2 linked regions of the Lytechinus pictus genome follow. The protein of the gene in region 1 binds, or shares a complex with, the protein of each later gene. Links are inferred from orthologs where the notes say so. Each region holds a gene or a part of one and is shown on either strand. Other genes may lie near its edges.

The links.
Region 2: probable tRNA N6-adenosine threonylcarbamoyltransferase (region 1) and EKC/KEOPS complex subunit TPRKB-like share a complex: the UniProt entries of both Homo sapiens proteins name them as parts of the EKC/KEOPS complex. The link is inferred for Lytechinus pictus from reciprocal best matches to the Homo sapiens genes OSGEP and TPRKB.

The regions. Positions count from the first base shown.
Region 1 is NC_087246.1:47,018,048-47,027,460, reverse strand, and holds the start of probable tRNA N6-adenosine threonylcarbamoyltransferase, read left to right. Parts: upstream 1-5,670; 5' UTR 5,671-5,900; exon of another isoform or gene 5,901-6,049; intron 6,050-7,429; 5' UTR 7,430-7,448; coding exon 7,449-7,563; intron 7,564-8,328; coding exon 8,329-8,389; intron 8,390-8,738; coding exon 8,739-8,797; intron 8,798-9,413. UniProt on the Homo sapiens protein: Component of the EKC/KEOPS complex that is required for the formation of a threonylcarbamoyl group on adenosine at position 37 (t(6)A37) in tRNAs that read codons beginning with adenine.
Region 2 is NC_087247.1:45,963,125-45,972,190, forward strand, and holds the start of EKC/KEOPS complex subunit TPRKB-like, read left to right. Parts: upstream 1-5,565; 5' UTR 5,566-5,821; exon of another isoform or gene 5,822-5,839; intron 5,840-7,670; 5' UTR 7,671-7,776; coding exon 7,777-7,947; intron 7,948-8,653; coding exon 8,654-8,827; intron 8,828-9,066. Other genes in the region: methylglutaconyl-CoA hydratase, mitochondrial-like, read right to left, coding at 5,335-5,488. UniProt on the Homo sapiens protein: Component of the EKC/KEOPS complex that is required for the formation of a threonylcarbamoyl group on adenosine at position 37 (t(6)A37) in tRNAs that read codons beginning with adenine.

The sequences.
Region 1 (9,413 bases):
TTCTGAACAAGAGGGGAATTCCCCAGCTGATGGATAAGGGGATGGACGGATTGGTATATATATTTATATAGGTCCATGGTTGTATGAATTGCTTTGTCTTTCCCGGGGTTTTCCCCAATAATCAGTACTACACCATCGGATTATTTTCTTTCTTTATATTACCAGCCTGCATCAAAAGTACAAACCAACATGTTTTTCAATTATAATTATCATTTGAATCAAAACAACTCCCAAAACAATGAAACACAATCAGTGTTGGAAGAAAAGTCCGTCGTTCCAAATCAACTGTATGTACCACACTATTAATTTCAATTAGTTGCATGTGGTTTTAAACATATATAACATATATTTGGGGTTTAATCTCTGAAAGCGGGTCGGATTTTTCGGGAGTCAGGACGACCTAAAAGTGACGTAAGTATTTTCTAGTTTATGGAAGATAAGGATATATACACTCGGGGCCCGAAAAGGGAAGGGAAAAGGAAAAGGAGAAAAAGAGATCAACACTCTAAAAATGAAATGTTAAATCATCATTTGAAAGGTTGGAGGAGCTATCGACAACCTTTCATAAATGTTGCATTTACCACCCAAAACAATTCAAGGTTGGATAATAACATCTGGAAAATGTTGTCACATCACCTCCAACCTTTCAAATGTTTATTTAACATCGAGAGTCAAAGAAAGAGGCCGTGCCCAAACGGCCGTGCATCCCCCTCTGTGAAACTTAGTTAACTTACAATTAAGTCCACCCCAACAAATAGTTGATTTGAATAAAAAGAGAAAAATCCAACAAGCTAAACACTGAAAATTTCATCAAAGTCGGATGTAAAATAAGAAAGTTATGACAGTTTAAAGTTTCGCGTAATTTCACAAAAAAGTTATATCCTGGTCGGTATGCAAGTGAAGAGACTGCTGACGTCATCCACTCACTATTTCTTATGTACTTTAATATATGAAATATGAAATATTCTAATTTTCTCCTCATTGTCAAGTGAAACAACTATCAATTCCTCCCTGAACATGTGGAACTAGCTTTATGCTATATGGTTCAGTCAAGTTGATCCTTATTGTCAAATCTGTACAAAAGTGAATTTTGTATTGAATTTTGTATGATTTACACAATAAAAAACAAAAGAAATAGTGAGTGAGGGACATCATGAACTATCTCATTTACATGTCACTGAGTTGTGCATATCACTGTTTTGTGAAAAATAAGCAAAACTTTAAAATATCATAACTTTCTTATTGGACATCCGATTTTGATGAACTTTTCAGCGTTATGCTAGTTTGATTTTTCTCTATTTATTCAAATCAACATTTTTCTGGGGTGGACTTGACCTTTAAACATAAAAATCTTGTAGGGACAAAACGACCACGTCGTGACGCCGAATGGGTAATTACCCTTCCGGTAAATTAGGGAGCATATTTGATTTGATTTGATTTGATTTATTTTTTTTCACATTCCAATAACAAAAAGTATACAAGTGTAATCATTTTTTCTCAGCATAACATAACAATAAGCAAATGACATAATGAATAAAATATACATACTTATTCTAACGATCTAATTAAAATATAATATTACCTAAGATTTTTTTCTAATCATTAAGACAAATAGCAGAAAAATATATATTATATCGACATAATACATTTTGAAATGTGGGAGACCTCCATCATAAGCTTAGAGCTTGAAATTGACGGAGGCCTCAGAGTGTACAACAAAACAAATGGTCCGATTTATATTACATTTGAATGGAAATGAAATGAATTGAATTGAAAAAAGCAAAGAGAAAAAGAAAATATCAAGAGAAAGAGCATAAAAAAGAAAGAAAGAAAGAAATAATAGGAGGAAGAAAAGAAAACAGAACGAGAGAAAAACAAAGAAAGAGTGTGCAACGAATAGATATCAGTGCCTATACTTATTACACATATTACACATTACACACTTATGGCACATTAATAGATTAAAGGGATGCTCCATGCTGTATATGATTTGAACATACAAAAAAAATCAGACAAACAAAACAGTGAAAATTTGATCAAAATCAGAAAAGAATAACAAAGCTATATGCGGGGCTATATGGCATTTTAAAGATTTGCATTATTCCGGTGAAACAGTTCTATAGGCATGTCTTCAAGAACATCCAATGAGCAAACTGAGTGATGATGTCATAACCCCATAGGCGGATTCAGGGGGGCCCGAGGGGCCCGCCCCCCCCCCCCCCCCCCCCATTGGCGGAGCAAAAAAATAAAAAAGGGGGAAGAAATAAAAAAATTAAAAAAAAGGGAAAAGAGAGGAGAAAAAGAAGAAGGGGAAACATAAAAGGAGGAAGACGAGTGAATAAAATAAGATGAGGGGAAGACTTGGGAAATAATTTTGAAAATATTTCATGTCACTATACAGTATAAAATTTTCGCTCGCGCTTCGCGCTCGCATTGACTTTTAGGTAATTTAAATATCTTGCTTCATGCGGAGCTTAAGTATCAAAATTTGAAATCAATATAAATATTTCAGCTCGGAAATCGAACTTTCATTATTTTGTTTGATTTAAAAATTTATTTTTTAAAAGTGCTCTGTAAAGAGTTATGGTTTGTCTTCTGAATATTTACATTTTCTAAATTTGATTTGTCAGGTACCAATTATTTTCCTGTATTCCATAAAGTTCTCTAATATCCCTATTTATGTCAAAATGTCAAAACGTAACAGCTAGCACTGCACGCTCGCATTTTGATTGGTGATTTGATATGTATATTTCAATATTAATTCTAAAATAAGCTACTTAAAATCCCCATTTCATGACAGTTTATCAAATATTTCGGCTCGAAATTTGCGCTCGCATTGATTGTTGAAAATATTTAAACTCATGCATCTTATTCATAATTACAAAAGTGCTTTAAATGTCCAGTTTACAGGCCATAATGAATTAACAGATTTCTCGCTCCCATTAGGCTTATTAGATTAATAAATAAGATATTAATTCAATAATCAAATTGACCCTTTTTAGAATGGAATATCGACAAGTTTCATCTCCCGCTGAGGAAAAGAAATAGGAAGATAGTCATCATTTTCATATGATGACATAATGTTCTGAGAATGGCCCTTTCCTATGTCAAAACTCAAAGTAATTTTTTTTTCAACTATGATTCATATCCACCTCACAATTTTCCTACAAAGTACTTGAAATACAGAGCTTAAATTGACCTTTTTTCAGATCGGAATATCAAACATTTTAAGCTCGCGCTTCGCGCTCGCTTTATTGATTTTCATGATGAAAAAAGGTATTTAGAATGCCCAGATTCTAGCTCAAAATCTGAATGACGCGCACGCATGTTTATTCAGATACGCAGCTTGTTCTCTATTTAAATCATTATGAGCCTATATAGCCAGTTTCAGATCAGAATATAAAAAAAAATTTGCTCACGCTTTGCGCTCGCATTATTAATGTAGGAAGATACCAAATTATACCCAATTTTTTAATGATTTACAAAACATGAAGAGAGTGTCCCGTTTTTAGGTTTGAAATCTCATTTTTTTGCTGCTCGCGCTGTGCGCGCTCGCATCAATTGTTTGGTATACTGTTCATGATTACAAAAAGTGCATAGAACGTTAATTTTTTAGGACGGAACGTCAAATAATTGTCAGCTCGCGCTTCGCGCTTTCATTATTTAATCATTGAAATATGTATCGTCTTAATGGCTAACTGCAAAACGTTCTTAACAGGTCCCTATTCGACAAGACCAGAACGCATTATAAAAATTTCTGCTCTCGCTTCGCGCTCGCAGTAATTATCTAGTTACATACTCATCTTGTTCAGGTTCACAAACATTGCCCAGAATGTTCAATTTTCAGGACAAAATACATGCAATTTCAAAACTGTTTAGCTCGCACGTCGCGCTCACACTATTTAAATAGGGCTTATATGAAATTATTACACATTTATGTTGTTTGTAAGAATAAAGCAGTGACATTTTTGCTAGGACATGGGCGTTTATGTCCCCCCCCCCCAAAAAAAAAAAAAAAAAAAAAAAATCACGACCAAGAAAAAAGGAAAGGGATAAGGGTGAAATATAATATTATTTTTCAAGTATTATGTCAAAATCTATCACAAACTTGGATTTTTGTAATAAATATGTCAAAATTTTTGCTCGCTCGCTTCGCTCGCTCGTAATTTCTTATTAATGTTACGCGAAACGCCATATCAAGCCCCCTCAATTGTTTTTGGCTCATTACGCCACTGGGACAACCCCTTCAAAGAAACAACCAAAAATCAACTTTGAGCAGCCGACCGGGGAAAATATGGGTGAAAATTTTTTCGGGCCCCCCCTATTGGCGGAGGCTGGATCCGCCCCTGTAACCCTACTTGTTCTTTTGTATTTTATTATATAAAATTAAGTTTATTCAAATATTTTCTACCTAGAACTAAAAAAAAATGGATTGATAACTGATTAAGTGCATTCATTACAAGGGAGACATATCATTTACACATGTATGAAAAATGACCCAATTATGATTTCACGTAATAACATACGAAAAAGAAAAGTGGGGATGCGACATCATAATAAGCCTAATATACCAGATTAATATTCATTACGAAGTGAATGTAACTGTTTTCACAGAATATTGCTTAACTTTAGTTAAAATTCAATAACTTTGTTATTTGTTATCCGATTTAGATGAAATTTTCAGCATTTTACTCAATCTGTGAATTTTACTCTATTTATACAGATATAAACATTTTCAACCCGGAGTAGCCCTTTAAAGGGGAAGTTCACCCTGATAAAAAGTCTATTGTCAAAATAGCAGAAAAATAATTTAAAATATTGCCGAAGGAAATATTGAATGAAATACAATACAGCCTGCATGAGGGGTCCCAAAGTACCTGTAGTACAATCATGACAATGATAAGTATAAGATGAATGTTTGTTGAGGAAAACAAATTGTTTCTTTCAGAGAGGCCTATTCCTGAAACTTTTACCATAGTGTCAAATAATTGGGAAACAAAAAAAAACTGATATACACAAACCATGTGAGATGATTTTGTCAATAGCATGAAATATCAGAACGTATGAACTGTACTAAGTTTTTCCCTAAAGCAAAAAAAAGTTAGAAAGCCATTATCTGCTAAGAAGGTATAATTGTCGCATATTTGATTTTATCCACAATTTTGAAAACAGGGAGATTACTTGTTTGATAATTATCAATATTTTAGTTTGTCCCTCATTTTTTGACAGAGGGATACTTTTAAAAATTGAATTATTCTAGGGATCCATGTACTAAATTATACAAATTAGAAATGGGGCTAAAAGTATTGAATTTGGATTTGCTGGGCCAATTTAAAATTCGAAAAAATAGTTCGAGGAGCTTTAACATGGTCAATTCCAATGAACGCTAGATGGGCCTAAATAAGGTTTGTTGTCAAAAGGACCAAAATTGAGGGGGGGGGGGAATCCGTTAATTTTTTTTTCATAAAATGCAGCTAAAGCAAGTAGAGGCTTGCTTTCGCCAAAAGGATATAGGCCTAGTAAAAATGTTTCTAAGATTTATCATGCTCTAGGAACAGAAGGCCACTTTCTCATCATAATATAATGCTTTCGCATATTTTGTTTGCCCTTTATAGGATTCCATATCAGAACAAAACATTTAATTAACCTTGCATATGATTGGCTAAGCCTAAGGGCAAAATGGTCCTTGAAAATTACTGACAAACGTTCATGATCCGTTCACATCTTCAGTCTTCATACTGAATTAATTATCCACCGATTCTTTTCTTTTCTTTGTTTTTGTATTTTTTTATTGGACGCTTCGGCGACACTGTGAGTGTGTTTTCTACCTTTCCCTGCATGCTGCTGTACCGGTACCTGTTCTAGTTCTACCGAAAATTTTGTTAATTTTCCGTGACATAGTGAGTGAGTAGGCAATGAAAACATCTGGAATGCATGATTTGAAGCCATTTATTAAAAATATGGGCTAAATATGGAAATTTTATTCATTTTCATCAAATTTTGCCAGCCTTTATCTTTATGCCGACTTCAATTTGAATATTTGTAAAAAGTTAGTAGTTTTTACCTCAGCTCAGGCTCAGTCCCACATCATTCAGATGATGTCAGTGAGAGAGAACTAACGAGTAACGTAATAATAGACACACTAATTTATTGATTAGAGTCAAGACAAGAAGAATAGGACATTTCGACTCGAATCATTTGGAAGGTGTTTTTAGGATTGCTTTGAGGTGCTGCTGGCAATATTATGATTTAATTATAGCATGGACCTAGTCCTAGTGGTCCAGGACCATGATGATAGGGAAGAAAAGGGAAATAAAATGGAGGAAAAGTCGTGAACAAAAGTTACAAAACTCATTTAACACTAAACTAAAGTAACAGTCGTGATGAATGCACGATCGATTGTTCAATTGTTTTGATATTTAGGGCTAGGTGCAAAATTATTTTAAATCTACCTGACAGAATGAATTCCTGGAAGAAATAATCCATGTAGGCCCCTATCTCTCCGATCTCCTTTGAAGTTGGAAAAGGAAAAATGGAGTAAACTGAACATCAAAATCACAACTTACTGCCTGATCTTCGGAATGAGCATGATCAGTTAAATTCAAGTTCAGTTGCCACAAGATAATAGATGATTGTGGGCATTTCGGCATTAATGGAAAGACGAGACAAGGAATATAATTCATTCATCTTTCCATCCCTAAACTCAGAAAGGAGTGAAAGTCGTCACATTCACAGATTAAATCTTTCGGTTTAAAAATATCTATTGTATTCCTGTCTGTGTATTGTTTTGTTTTTACCCCGAATCATAATCCACTCATCCACTTGCACTAATGAGTATTGTCGTTGGATGCATTTATCGCAGTTGACATAATTTGCTATGCCTATGTGCGCTTGACCACCAATTTTGAAGTTTTCCTTTCAATTACATATATCGCCAAGTCGATTTTTTGTTTTAGTCTAATTTAAAAGCATTTGCCATTGGCGTTGCTGTTTGGAACATGTGATCACAAAAACACTGTACTAGACACTTTGCCAAATTTGTGTAGAGCTGTCAACTTTATTGCTTGAATCCATTTATCATAGTCCTTAACCCATAATGGATCTTAACTTCTATGACACATGCTGATATCGATGATCAAGTATAAATATGCAATACAGCTTAACTGTCTATTGACCTTTTTTTTTTAATACTGGACCTCTGTTCAAAGTTTGATATATAGTCAATCTTTTATTTTTTCTCTTATTATTTTATCTGTTATTGAGAATTGAGATTTACACAGAGGCTTAACGAGTGATTTATGAATTAGACTTAATTTTCTTTCTTGCAGTCAAATAGCATTGCTATCTGAAGGTTACAAGAATTCAATTAGACAACATGATATATAAATAATTAGTGGTTTTCTTTGCCTTCTTTTTCAATCTATTTCAGATTAGTATAATATCCGACAATGCCTACTGTGATAGGTTTTGAAGGCAGTGCTAACAAGCTTGGTATAGGAATCGTCAAAGATGGAGAAGTCTTATCTAATCCCAGACACACCTATATCACTCCACCTGGTGAAGGTAAACAAACCTCTTTATTCAGTGATATGCTTTAACTTGCAATCAATTGCCAGTCTATTTTCATTCCCTAAGTCAGTCATAGGTCTTGAAATTAATTGCGAATTTGCAATTGATTGGTAATCTGCTTTTCTTGAAACAAGGAGTGTAATCTGATTTGCTACAGTTAAAATTGATCTGTCAGTTTTAGAATTGCAAAAGAATATTTGCAATTGATTGCAAATATTTTCTTGCAACACCCCACTAAGACATTTCTTATGGATGATTGCTTACAATGTATGTGTGTGTGTGGGTGTGCTTAGCCACATTGCCAACCGAGGATGCACACACAAATTTCACATTTTAAAACAAGTACACAAATCAAACCAAGGATGTCCTCAGATCACTAACCAATGTTACAGGTCCCAAATCACAAACCTTTTTCATAAAGCCCTTGATTTTTGCAACGATAAAAGATTTCCTTGGTGATATCATTAAATTTCATATAGTATGATCAAAATTTCAGCAGATTTCTGCTGACCGAAAAGTTATTGTTTTAACGATTTAAGTACACAAAGAAATGAATGCCTGTGGATATTACAAAAAGAAGTTGAGTTTCTGTAAAATGTAAAAGCTCTCCTTATTTAGCTGGTAAAAAAAACAAAATAAATTCTACATTATGAACCAGTAAAACAATAAGATATACAGTACTATATTTTATAACATGAAATTATGTTCATAATTACTAATGAATTTACACTCTCATTTTTATTTCCATTTTCTTTTCAGGTTTCCAACCTCGAGATACTGCCAGGCACCATCAACAGCATATCATGTCTATTTTGAGAAGGTAATTATCACTTATTGGGGTATTCAAAAAAGGAATAAAAATATTTGTGACAGACAAAATTTGATTGCCTCTGTATTTATTATTATCAATTCTGTCTTCATATATTAGCAAACTCCATGACCATGAGTAAATGTTCAAATTCCTTTTAAGATGAAAGAGTAAAAGCATTTTGCACCCCTGTATGTCCCCCATTTTTTTGGTTTATTTTTTTAGGAAAAAAATAATAAAATCTGTATGTAAGTTTGTGAATATCACCTAGAATTAAAGTGAGCAAAAATTTTCATTCTAAGAAGAAATTATTGATTGTTGAATTGTCATTATATTTTCTGTTATTTTTATTTTATTTTAGGGCTTTAGACGAAGCTAAACTAACCCCAAAGGATATTGATTGTGTCTGTTATACAAAAGGTAAGCATTTATTTGCTCATTTATGTAATAATAATAATAATATTCCGCATTTATAGAGCGCTTAACACATCAGAACGACGTCTCTAAGCGCTTTACAGATAATTACCTCGGTCATCGGATCCTTGCATGCTTGCATACAATGTATGCACCTTCTCCACTCCCTTGGGAGCATTCCAGCAAGAGTTCCAAGACTCAATTGCTAGGCATACTATATAGGCTTTCGAATCCTACCGGATACCCATTTAACACCTGGGTGGAGAGTGGCAAATTGTGGATTGACGCCTTGCCAAAGGACACTAGGCCATGGTGGGATTCGAACACATGACCCTCTGATTACAAGGCGAGAGTCAAAACCGCTACACCATGGCGCTTCCATATGTGTTAATAAATCATCATTCTCTGTTCACAAAAAGACAATATTGCAATCATCAGCTATATGTTATTGGTAATTTTCAAAGTAAACATTATAAAGTTCAAGTTCTCTGAAATATCATATGGTAGTAAAAGATGGAAATTTAAAATCCTCTGGTAATCTGACAATGGATCTTTTAACTGATGAAACTACATGTATGATATTAATCTCAATTTGATAAAGTGATGCTTTGAAATAAAGTTC
Region 2 (9,066 bases), on another chromosome or scaffold:
TTGAAAGAAACATGGGTATTAATAGTAACAAGAAGGAGGTACATACAAGTAGTTCAGCTGTTTTGTAAAAGTATCCAAGTTGTGGACTTTGAGCACCTTTGTAGATTTTATATATTATTTCATTGAAGATTTAACAGTTTGGTGTACATACAGAGAGTTATTTATCATTACTTCGTTAGAAACTTGTTGTTTTCATCAGTTTTGCTTGTTTTACAATTTGAAAATAAAACAGTGGTGTCAAATCAGACTCCATGAGGGTGTATCATTCTTTTAAAGTATCTCTAAAGCATGTGGAACAGAAATGAAAATGATTACATTGAAAGTATCTGTTAAGAAGAAGAGAAAATAGAGAAAACTAATTTTTTTCATAAAAGTTAATTTAAATCAGTGATTTTTTTGAAAAAAAATCAAGTGATTTAAATCGCGATTTAAATCATGATTTAAATCGACATGATTTAAATCAAACAACCCTGGTTTAAAGGTCAAGTCCACCCAAGAAAAATGCTGATTTGAATAAATAGAGAAAAATCAAACGAGCAAAACACTGAAAATTTCATCGAAATCGGATGTAAAATAAGAAAGTTATGACATTTTAAAGTTTTGCTTATTTTTCACAAACCAGTGATATGCACAACTCAAATGAGACAGTCGATGATGTCCCTCACTCACTATTTCTTTTGTTTTTTATTGTTTGAATTATATATTTCATTTTTTATAGATTTGACAATAAGGACCAGCTTGACTGAATCATATAGTATAAAACAATGCTCATTCCACATGTTCAGGGAGGAATTAATCTTTGTTTCACTTGACAATGAGGAGAAAAATAGAATATTCCGTATTTCATATGATAAAATATAAAAGAAATAGTGAGTGGATGACGTCATCAGTCTCATTTGCATACCCACCAGGATGTGCATATAACTGTTTTGTGAAATTAAGCAAAACTTTAAAATGTCATAACTTTCTTATTTTACATCCGATTTTGATGAAATTTTCAGTGTTATGCTAATTGGATTTTTCTCTTTTTATTCAAATCAACTTTTTGTTTGGGTGGACTTGTCCTTTAAAGACCAAGAAGACAAAATGGGTATAGCCTACCTAGAGGTTTGAAATTAGAAAAAAAAAATTATTGGTCATACAGGCCAAATGGAAAGTAGAAAAAATATTCTTCAATTTTCCCAAAAAAATTTAATACTTTCTTAGTATAAGGGTTTGGCAAATATCCGAGGGGGGGGGGCGTACTTAGTATAAATGTATATCTATGTGCTACGATTGAAACCCCCATTTTCAGCCTAAATTTCTGGTCTAGAGCATCAATTCAGAAAGCCACAGATATTCCTATTTTTTCCCGCTCCGGAGACCCTCAAATTTGTGATTTCTCATTTCAATGCACGCCCTTCATGAAATCTATTGAGCCTGTCGGAGCGGCAAGCTCGATCGGTGCAGAGCCATAGCGGCGGGCTCCCGAAGCTCCCCGCACGCCCGCAGCTAGCTTGTTCTAGCCCGACATGAATCTAGCAAGACGCTCGCACATTTTTTTACATAGACGTTATCAATTACACCTACGATCAAAAGAATTCTGGAGACCCCCCCTTCTTTATGTTATGTGGTCAGTTCCAGAGAATTGCATTTTTAGCAATCGTTGATCCAAGAGCCGTTCAGGAGACCCCCGTTTTTAGACCAAGATTTAGTTCCAAAGCCCCATATTTTCGACTTTGGCGCAGCACATAGGTATTATGTTATAATTCAAGTAAAAAAAATTGTGACAACAATTAGCGATGAGAGAAAATATAACCTGGAAGTCGGATCTTGTGAATATTATAAGGTGCTCAAGTATTTTTATTCATATTTTTTCAGGAATATATATTCTAGATAGATCTATACAAGCAACAAGATGATCTCTGACTCTGTAATAAAATGGATTATTGTTAATATGGACCTCAAAGTATACGATCATAAGTTATATACAATGATTTTTAATGAGGTAATACTAAGTTTCGCGATAAGTCATTTTTATTTTAAAAAAAAAGTGTTTCTAGAAATGAAAACTGATAGAATACTTCTAGTTCTTACGAATTTAACATGGCGATAGATAGATTTAATCTAGATAGATCTAACAAGTTAGTATTCGAGATGTAGACCCGGGGGGGGGGGGGGGGGGTGGAGGCCACTTCCATTGTAGAGTGGATATATATACCAGGCACGACCAAAGAAGTGCATCAAAAGGATCTCTTTTTCAAGACTGGGCACGTTACGTACGTAATAAGGGTGTCAAAAACACTAAAATACTGAAAAAAGGGTATATACTTCGCTAGGAAAGCTACATGTTTACGGTCAAATTTGGGAGGGAATTTATATATGTAGGCCGGCCTACTTTTCGCCCCAACACTTTGTCGTGTCCGATTTGAGCGAGGTGGAGCGGTACCAAACCCAATATAACTTATGTAAATAAAGGAAAATGCTGACGTCTGTGACATAACAATTTAAATATCGCTGTAGACCTAAATCTACTTGTTGAGGTGTACACTTTAGGGATCAAGGGTAACTTTTTTTTCTAATACAAGCCTAATAATTAAGTGCATTTTCAAATTAATTACTCATTTAAGGCGGTGCTGCACCATCCCGAGTTTGCTCAATCTCGAGATTTTAGCCCGATCGGCCCTCTTCGCGATTAATCTCGAGATTCAAGAAACCCCGTCTCCACCATCGCAAGAAGAGCGATTCCTGCTCGAGCGAGGCAACAAGCCCAATATTCCGAGCATGCGCACTTTCGGATCTTGGAGTTTCAACGGCCCGCGCTTTTGAATAACTTCCCGCGATATGCAATCAAATACATGTAGGCTACTCCTTTCTCTAGCACTTTCGCCGAATTCGACAAGTGTTATGCAACAATCCTCTCAGCTCCGTCAGCCGCGCTCAGCGAGTGAAGAAGTGATGTATTCTTCGTTTAATATGATGGCGGAGAAGGAGGCAACGACAGAGAGAGAGAGGGAGAGAGAAAAGGAGGAGGAAAGAATGCTATTTGCTCACATTTTGCAAAGGCCATTAAGACGACACTGCTGTCAGTGTTGTTATCGACTATGAACATCGTCGATAAATGAGCGCCTCCCCCATATCCATAGGTCTGGTCTCTCCCAAAATCCATTCACTGTTGGGACACCATCGTTGCTGATTGGGGAATTGATGAACGCTATTCGCGATAATGTCTATTCGCGTGTATAAAATAGACTTTCGCACGTGTTTTTGTTTTGACCAAGGCGGAAGTGGAACGCGAATTGCATTATGGACTGACGTCATGAATAAATTACCCCGAGTCCAATCTCGAGTGCGTCTGCACCTTCGAATTAGCGGGATAATTCGTAAAATAGCGCGCTATTTTGCAAATAAACCCGAGTTGACTTGGGATTGCAATCTCGAGATTAATCCTACGAACTAGCGCGATAATTGCGTCTCCACTGCAAACAATCTCGAGATTTTTCAGATCGGGATAATTTGCCGGATCAGAAATAGCGCGCTAATTTGAAAACTCGGGATGGTGCAGACGGCCCTTTAGAGTACTTTTCGAAACCCCATGGTCGTGCCTGATATCCACTTGTCAATGGAAGTGCCCCCCCCCGCACGTAGACCCTAATTAAAGTTAGATTCTTTGATTAATTTTGGTCACTTGGACCAACTTTAGGCGTGCTGTATTATTGCCAGATTTTTAAAATAATTTTTGTTAAAAATCTAACTTGAAAATTCCAGGAAATGTCTATGAATTTCAGGAAATTTGGGATTTAGTTTCGGGAAATTTGTTTTAACTGTTGTTAGATCTGTGGTCTGGAAACACTGTCCTACTACCACCCAAGGGTTCATTACATGCCGCCGCGCACAGAAAAATCAAGCCATAGAAGTCGTGTGTTGTCAGTAGAGGCGCACGGCCAATATTGGAGACTGTCTCCAATGTGGGAGATATCTCCAATATCAGAGACTTTTGTAAAGAATTTGGGTATCCAATTTCAGAGACAGTCTCCAGTTTTGGAGACCAATTTCCTTTGTTTACATTTGCTGCAAAAGGATTACCTTGGCGGCAAATAAAAATGTGATAAGCAGATTCCTCATGAAAAATTACCCCTTTTCACCGTCTCCTTTAAAAATTCACCGTCTACTTTTGTTTTGATAAGGATTTTTGTTGTCAATCACACACAAAACAAATGGGCTTCTGACCTCAGTGAGACAAAATTTTGGGTGGAAAAAATCATGCTTTTGTTGGTGTTGTTTCTTTTGTCCTTTTGCAAAGCAAGTCTCCAATGTGGGAGATTGTCTCCCCTATTGGAGAGAGTCTCCCATATTGGCCGTGCGCCTCTACTGGTTGTGGACCCTAGAAGTGAGATCCCAGCACACGCGACCCACTAGTTAGAAATCCACTGCCAAACGCGGTTCGTGGTGCGAGGTTAGTATACTAATACTAACCTCGCAATACGTGCGAGTGTCCTACTACTAACGTTAGTACTACTATAGCTCTGTAAAGAGGACTGTACTCAACGGAAGAAGAAGTTAGTGTCCATACCAGAGGTCACAGTAAACAATTGTTCATACCAAGGACAAAGACCCAGAAATATAGGAATTCTTTTTATGTTAGAATACGTAAGACATGGAATAGCCTAAATAATGAAGTTGTCACTGCCCCAAGTGTGCACAGTTTTGAAGCTGCCCTGCCCTGGAAAAATGAGCCAATAAAATATGACTACGAAAGCCTTGTTCCCGGAAGTGAGCCAGCCATCTTGAGGAGGAAAAACCTAGAACTGAATACAGAGGCATAACATGCCTACATTCAGAAACTTCCCTAGGCCTAGGTATCCCTTCTAATACTAATAGGTTAACATGAACCGGTACATACAGTATACTACAGTCAGATGTGATCGCTCCCCCTCATCTCAGACAGTAGTAGTACTACTACTAGTAGTAGTAGACTGTAATTTTAGATTCAGAATACGAATTTGGTCAATTAGCATGATTAGCGCTCCATTATTTGGGAGGACTTACGAGGAAAGTTATGAATACCCCCCCCCCCCCCGCCCTGTATGCCACTGCACTGCATTGCATTGCATTCACCCATATATGACCATGGCCATGCCCCACCCACACTCCAGTCACAATCGACTCCATCATTCACAAGCCGGCTAGTCACACACAAAGTCCGAACCCGGCGCGTGAGCGACGGCTATGATTCGGGGCCCAGGCCAGCCGGCCGGCCGGGTACGGTGGAAAGGTCGGCCAGCCGGTAGCATGGTTACAATACAGTCGGCAGCAGCAGACACGCCACTAGCCTCACTTAATAGTAAAACACACCTCCATCATCCAAATAGCTGACTTTGAGATCATCTGCAGGAGAGCTAAATGTTCGAGCTACAGGTACCAACAGCTGCCTGGTAGTCAAAATCTTAGAATTTATACCAGTGAACACACCGGCGTAGCGGATCAGTTTTGTCAGGTGAGAAGCCATTTTTCTTTAAAGCACGCATGCAGCTTGTGCACGTGTGTACCGGTAGGTGCTGGTGGTGCTGCCCGCTCGTTCCCGATGCAAATGCGATCGACAACGGCGGCCAGGCCGCGCCGGCAAGCTAGCTAAGCTACCGCTCGGCTATACTAAATAGCTTAATAATATTTAAGCATTTGGTATAGACTATAGGCTAGATATGGCTATCTGAAGCCGGGCGGGAGTTCCCCGTATTTCTGTGTTAATGTTGTTGTTGTTAACATCAATCTTGAAAAAGGAAGTTCATCTTGACATTGAAAATCATGACCATGAATGCATGATGACAATGTCAATGAGTTTGTACCGGTAGTAGAGTAGAACTAAAAACAGAAAATTGGTGAAGGTTCATCATAACAGACTAATACAAATTTTTAAAAATGTTTGTGACATGACATCGACATCGTAGGCTTAAGATTAGGAACATGTTGTAACACATATGTCATCTAAGTTAGATTCTAAGTTAGATAAGTCATTAAGTGATTCTCAAGTTTATGTTACATCACAAAATCTATGTAGGATGTGTATACATGAAATAAAACTGGTCACCATTTCATGCAATTTCATAATTCATTTTTTTTATGATGTTCATGCGTATCGGTACATTTTATATAATTTATCTCCTCTCCTCTCCTCTCCTCTCCTCTCCTCTCCTCTCCTCTCCTCTCCTCTCCTCTCCTCTCCTCTCCTCTCCTCTCCTCTCCTCTCCTCTCCCCTCCCCTCCCCTCCCCTCCCCTCCCCTCCCCTCCCCTCCCCTCCCCTCCCCTCCCCTCCCCTCCCCTCCCCTCCCCTCCCCTCCCCTCCCCTCCCCTCCCCTCCCCTCCCCTCCCCTCCCCTCCCCTCCCCTCCCCTCCCCTCCCCTCCCCTCCCCTCCCCTCCCCTCCCCTCCCCTCCCCTCCCCTCCCCTCCCCTCGACTTTTGCTAAGATGAGGGTTTGACCAAATTGTTTGACCCATTGACAATGAGCTGTAACATCCTAATAACCTCCTCATGTACGTAGATCCCCTCTGTTCTGTTTGTACAACCCTCGTCAGCAGGGAAAGGGGTGTTAGAGTTTGATCCCCTCCCCTTTTTAGGCAGCCCAAGAGGGTAGGCTAAAATCCCCTACACCCCCCCTACATTGTAGATCACCATTGTAAATAGCTGAATCAATCTGGCCAGAGTGTCGGGGTGGAAATTGAGAGTGACTTGTTTAATTTGGATTAAAATGTCTGTAAAGCTATGCATAAGAAAGTAATATGAAAAAGTAAAATGGTGAACTTATCTGCAAATATTTCCAAATTTTAGTAAAATATGATTGTATTGAATTTTATTACATGATTAGAAAATTTGAAATAAGATATAATAGCATGTAAACAAAATACTTTTAACACTTGGGTCAATGGTCTCTGAAAGCAAGATGATTCATACATGTAGTTGGGCATGATAATTTTTTAAATATATACAAATAGTATGAAGTATATGTATGATTAGAATTCTATAATGAAGTATACATGTAAGTCAAAGAGGATTGCATTTCCTAGGTGAACATCACACATTGGAGTTCAAGACGAAAATTCCACTCAGTCCAAAGCCGATCTCTATTTAAAACCTGTACCAGTGATTAGAACCAATCTTTGTCAAGTGTGATGGCAGTGTATACACCTATCTCCATCCACAACCCATCTCTCCCTAGGGAGGGATTATTTAGATCAGTGATGAGGATGGCCTTGAGTGGGATGTGTAGAAATATTGTTCTTCAGCAAGTAACAATATTTCTATGCATCCCACGGAAATTGGTCATCCAATATTATAATTATTTAGATACCCCAACAAAGCTAAGCATAAATTAATGAAGCAAAAAAAAAAGTTGTTACTCAGCATTTGATGTCAATCCTGTAAATCATGAGCATGGCGACTGTAAAGAGTATTGTCATTTTCTTAAAAGAAATATGTGTAAAGATGCGCTAGCGTATAGTGCAAGTGCATTTGAATTAAATAAATTGACGCAATCTTGCTCCTTTGCCACACCTGGCAACTAATGCGCAATGCAATATCATTGTGACGTAACAATAGCTTTATGCGCACAATCGGTTATTAACCAATGATAATCTCGTAGGCGGGGCAAAATATTCATTCATCCAATATGGAAAATATTGAATGGTTTTCATAGGCATACACGTTAAAAATCAGTTTTAAAATATTTTGTCTCTTTGAAACAACATCGCAAGACGTCAAAAAATATCTGTGCCTCTAAAACCCTGCATCTAAATAATGATATGAAATATATGTACATTCATAAAGTGTATTTTTCTCCCTTGATGCAGCTGGTCAGCCCATTTCAGATAATGGTAGCAGTGAATAAGGCACTCCATGCACATGCCACTGGCCATGCAAAAACCAGGACTGTTAATTCTGAAATCATCTATAGCCTGTCTCCATCCACAAATGTAAGCTTTTGGGTTTTTTTTCTTTCAAAGAATGATTTCAACTTTAATTTGCTCTATTTCACTTATTTAAAATTGTTTACTAGTATTGCTTATAATTATATATTTATTTAAGTAATTAATTTATTTACTAAGTTATTTATTCCATCTATTCATTATTTATCAATTATTTATTATTATGAAAAAATATTGTAGAAGAGAACATATTTAGTTATGTTTTTATTTTTTTTATTTTCTTCCTTTTATGGGGCTTCTAACTGGATATTGGCGTATATATATAATAGGCTTTTCTAATGGGTTAGTAAACTACACCAATAATGCTAAATTTGTTTGAAAGTAATATGGTATACACATTAATACAAAATAACGTAGTTGATTAATTTGTTTGCATACTTTGCTTTGTTGATAGGCATATTTCTTACAAAGGATATAGAATTAAAATGTCATTCAGGAATCTATCTTTCAAGAATTTTGCAATGGGGACATATCAGTGCTAGGTTTTGCTCCTAATGAATCATCAATAGCAAAAGGTGATAGTACATAATCATGTAAGTTAGTGCCTACATTATTTAAAACTTGGACAGTATTTACTGCTATGTAAGAAGCAGAATATTCTTGAATATTCTTATACATATCGCTTAAGTATTTGCAAATAAGATCTACTGTCATATCATTCAAGTATATTTATTGATCTCTTAATTGTTTACAGATCAGTGAATCCTTCAAGGTTTTTGCAATGGGATCAACTGACACATCAGTGGCAGTGGTTGTTTTAAATGATCCTGATCAAACCAACCTGAAGTCAATTGCTGCAAAGATTGAAGGAGTTTGTGTTCCTCTATCTCAACTCTCCATGCATACAGATGAAATCATGATCAAGAAGGTATTTGCACATAAAAACATTCCTTTGTGATATTCATTGACCTGAAGAAGACAAATCTGTGTAATTGCCCAGAATCCTCCAGTTTGCCCCCCCCAAAAAAAAAAAAAACACACATGAAAAATTGAACTCGGGGCTTAATTCTGAAAATAATCACAGGGAGATCAAGGATTTAATATTTGGGGGAATCGGAGAGGGGGCACAGATTATTATCCCAAATTGCCTGTCTCCCAATTTGTTTT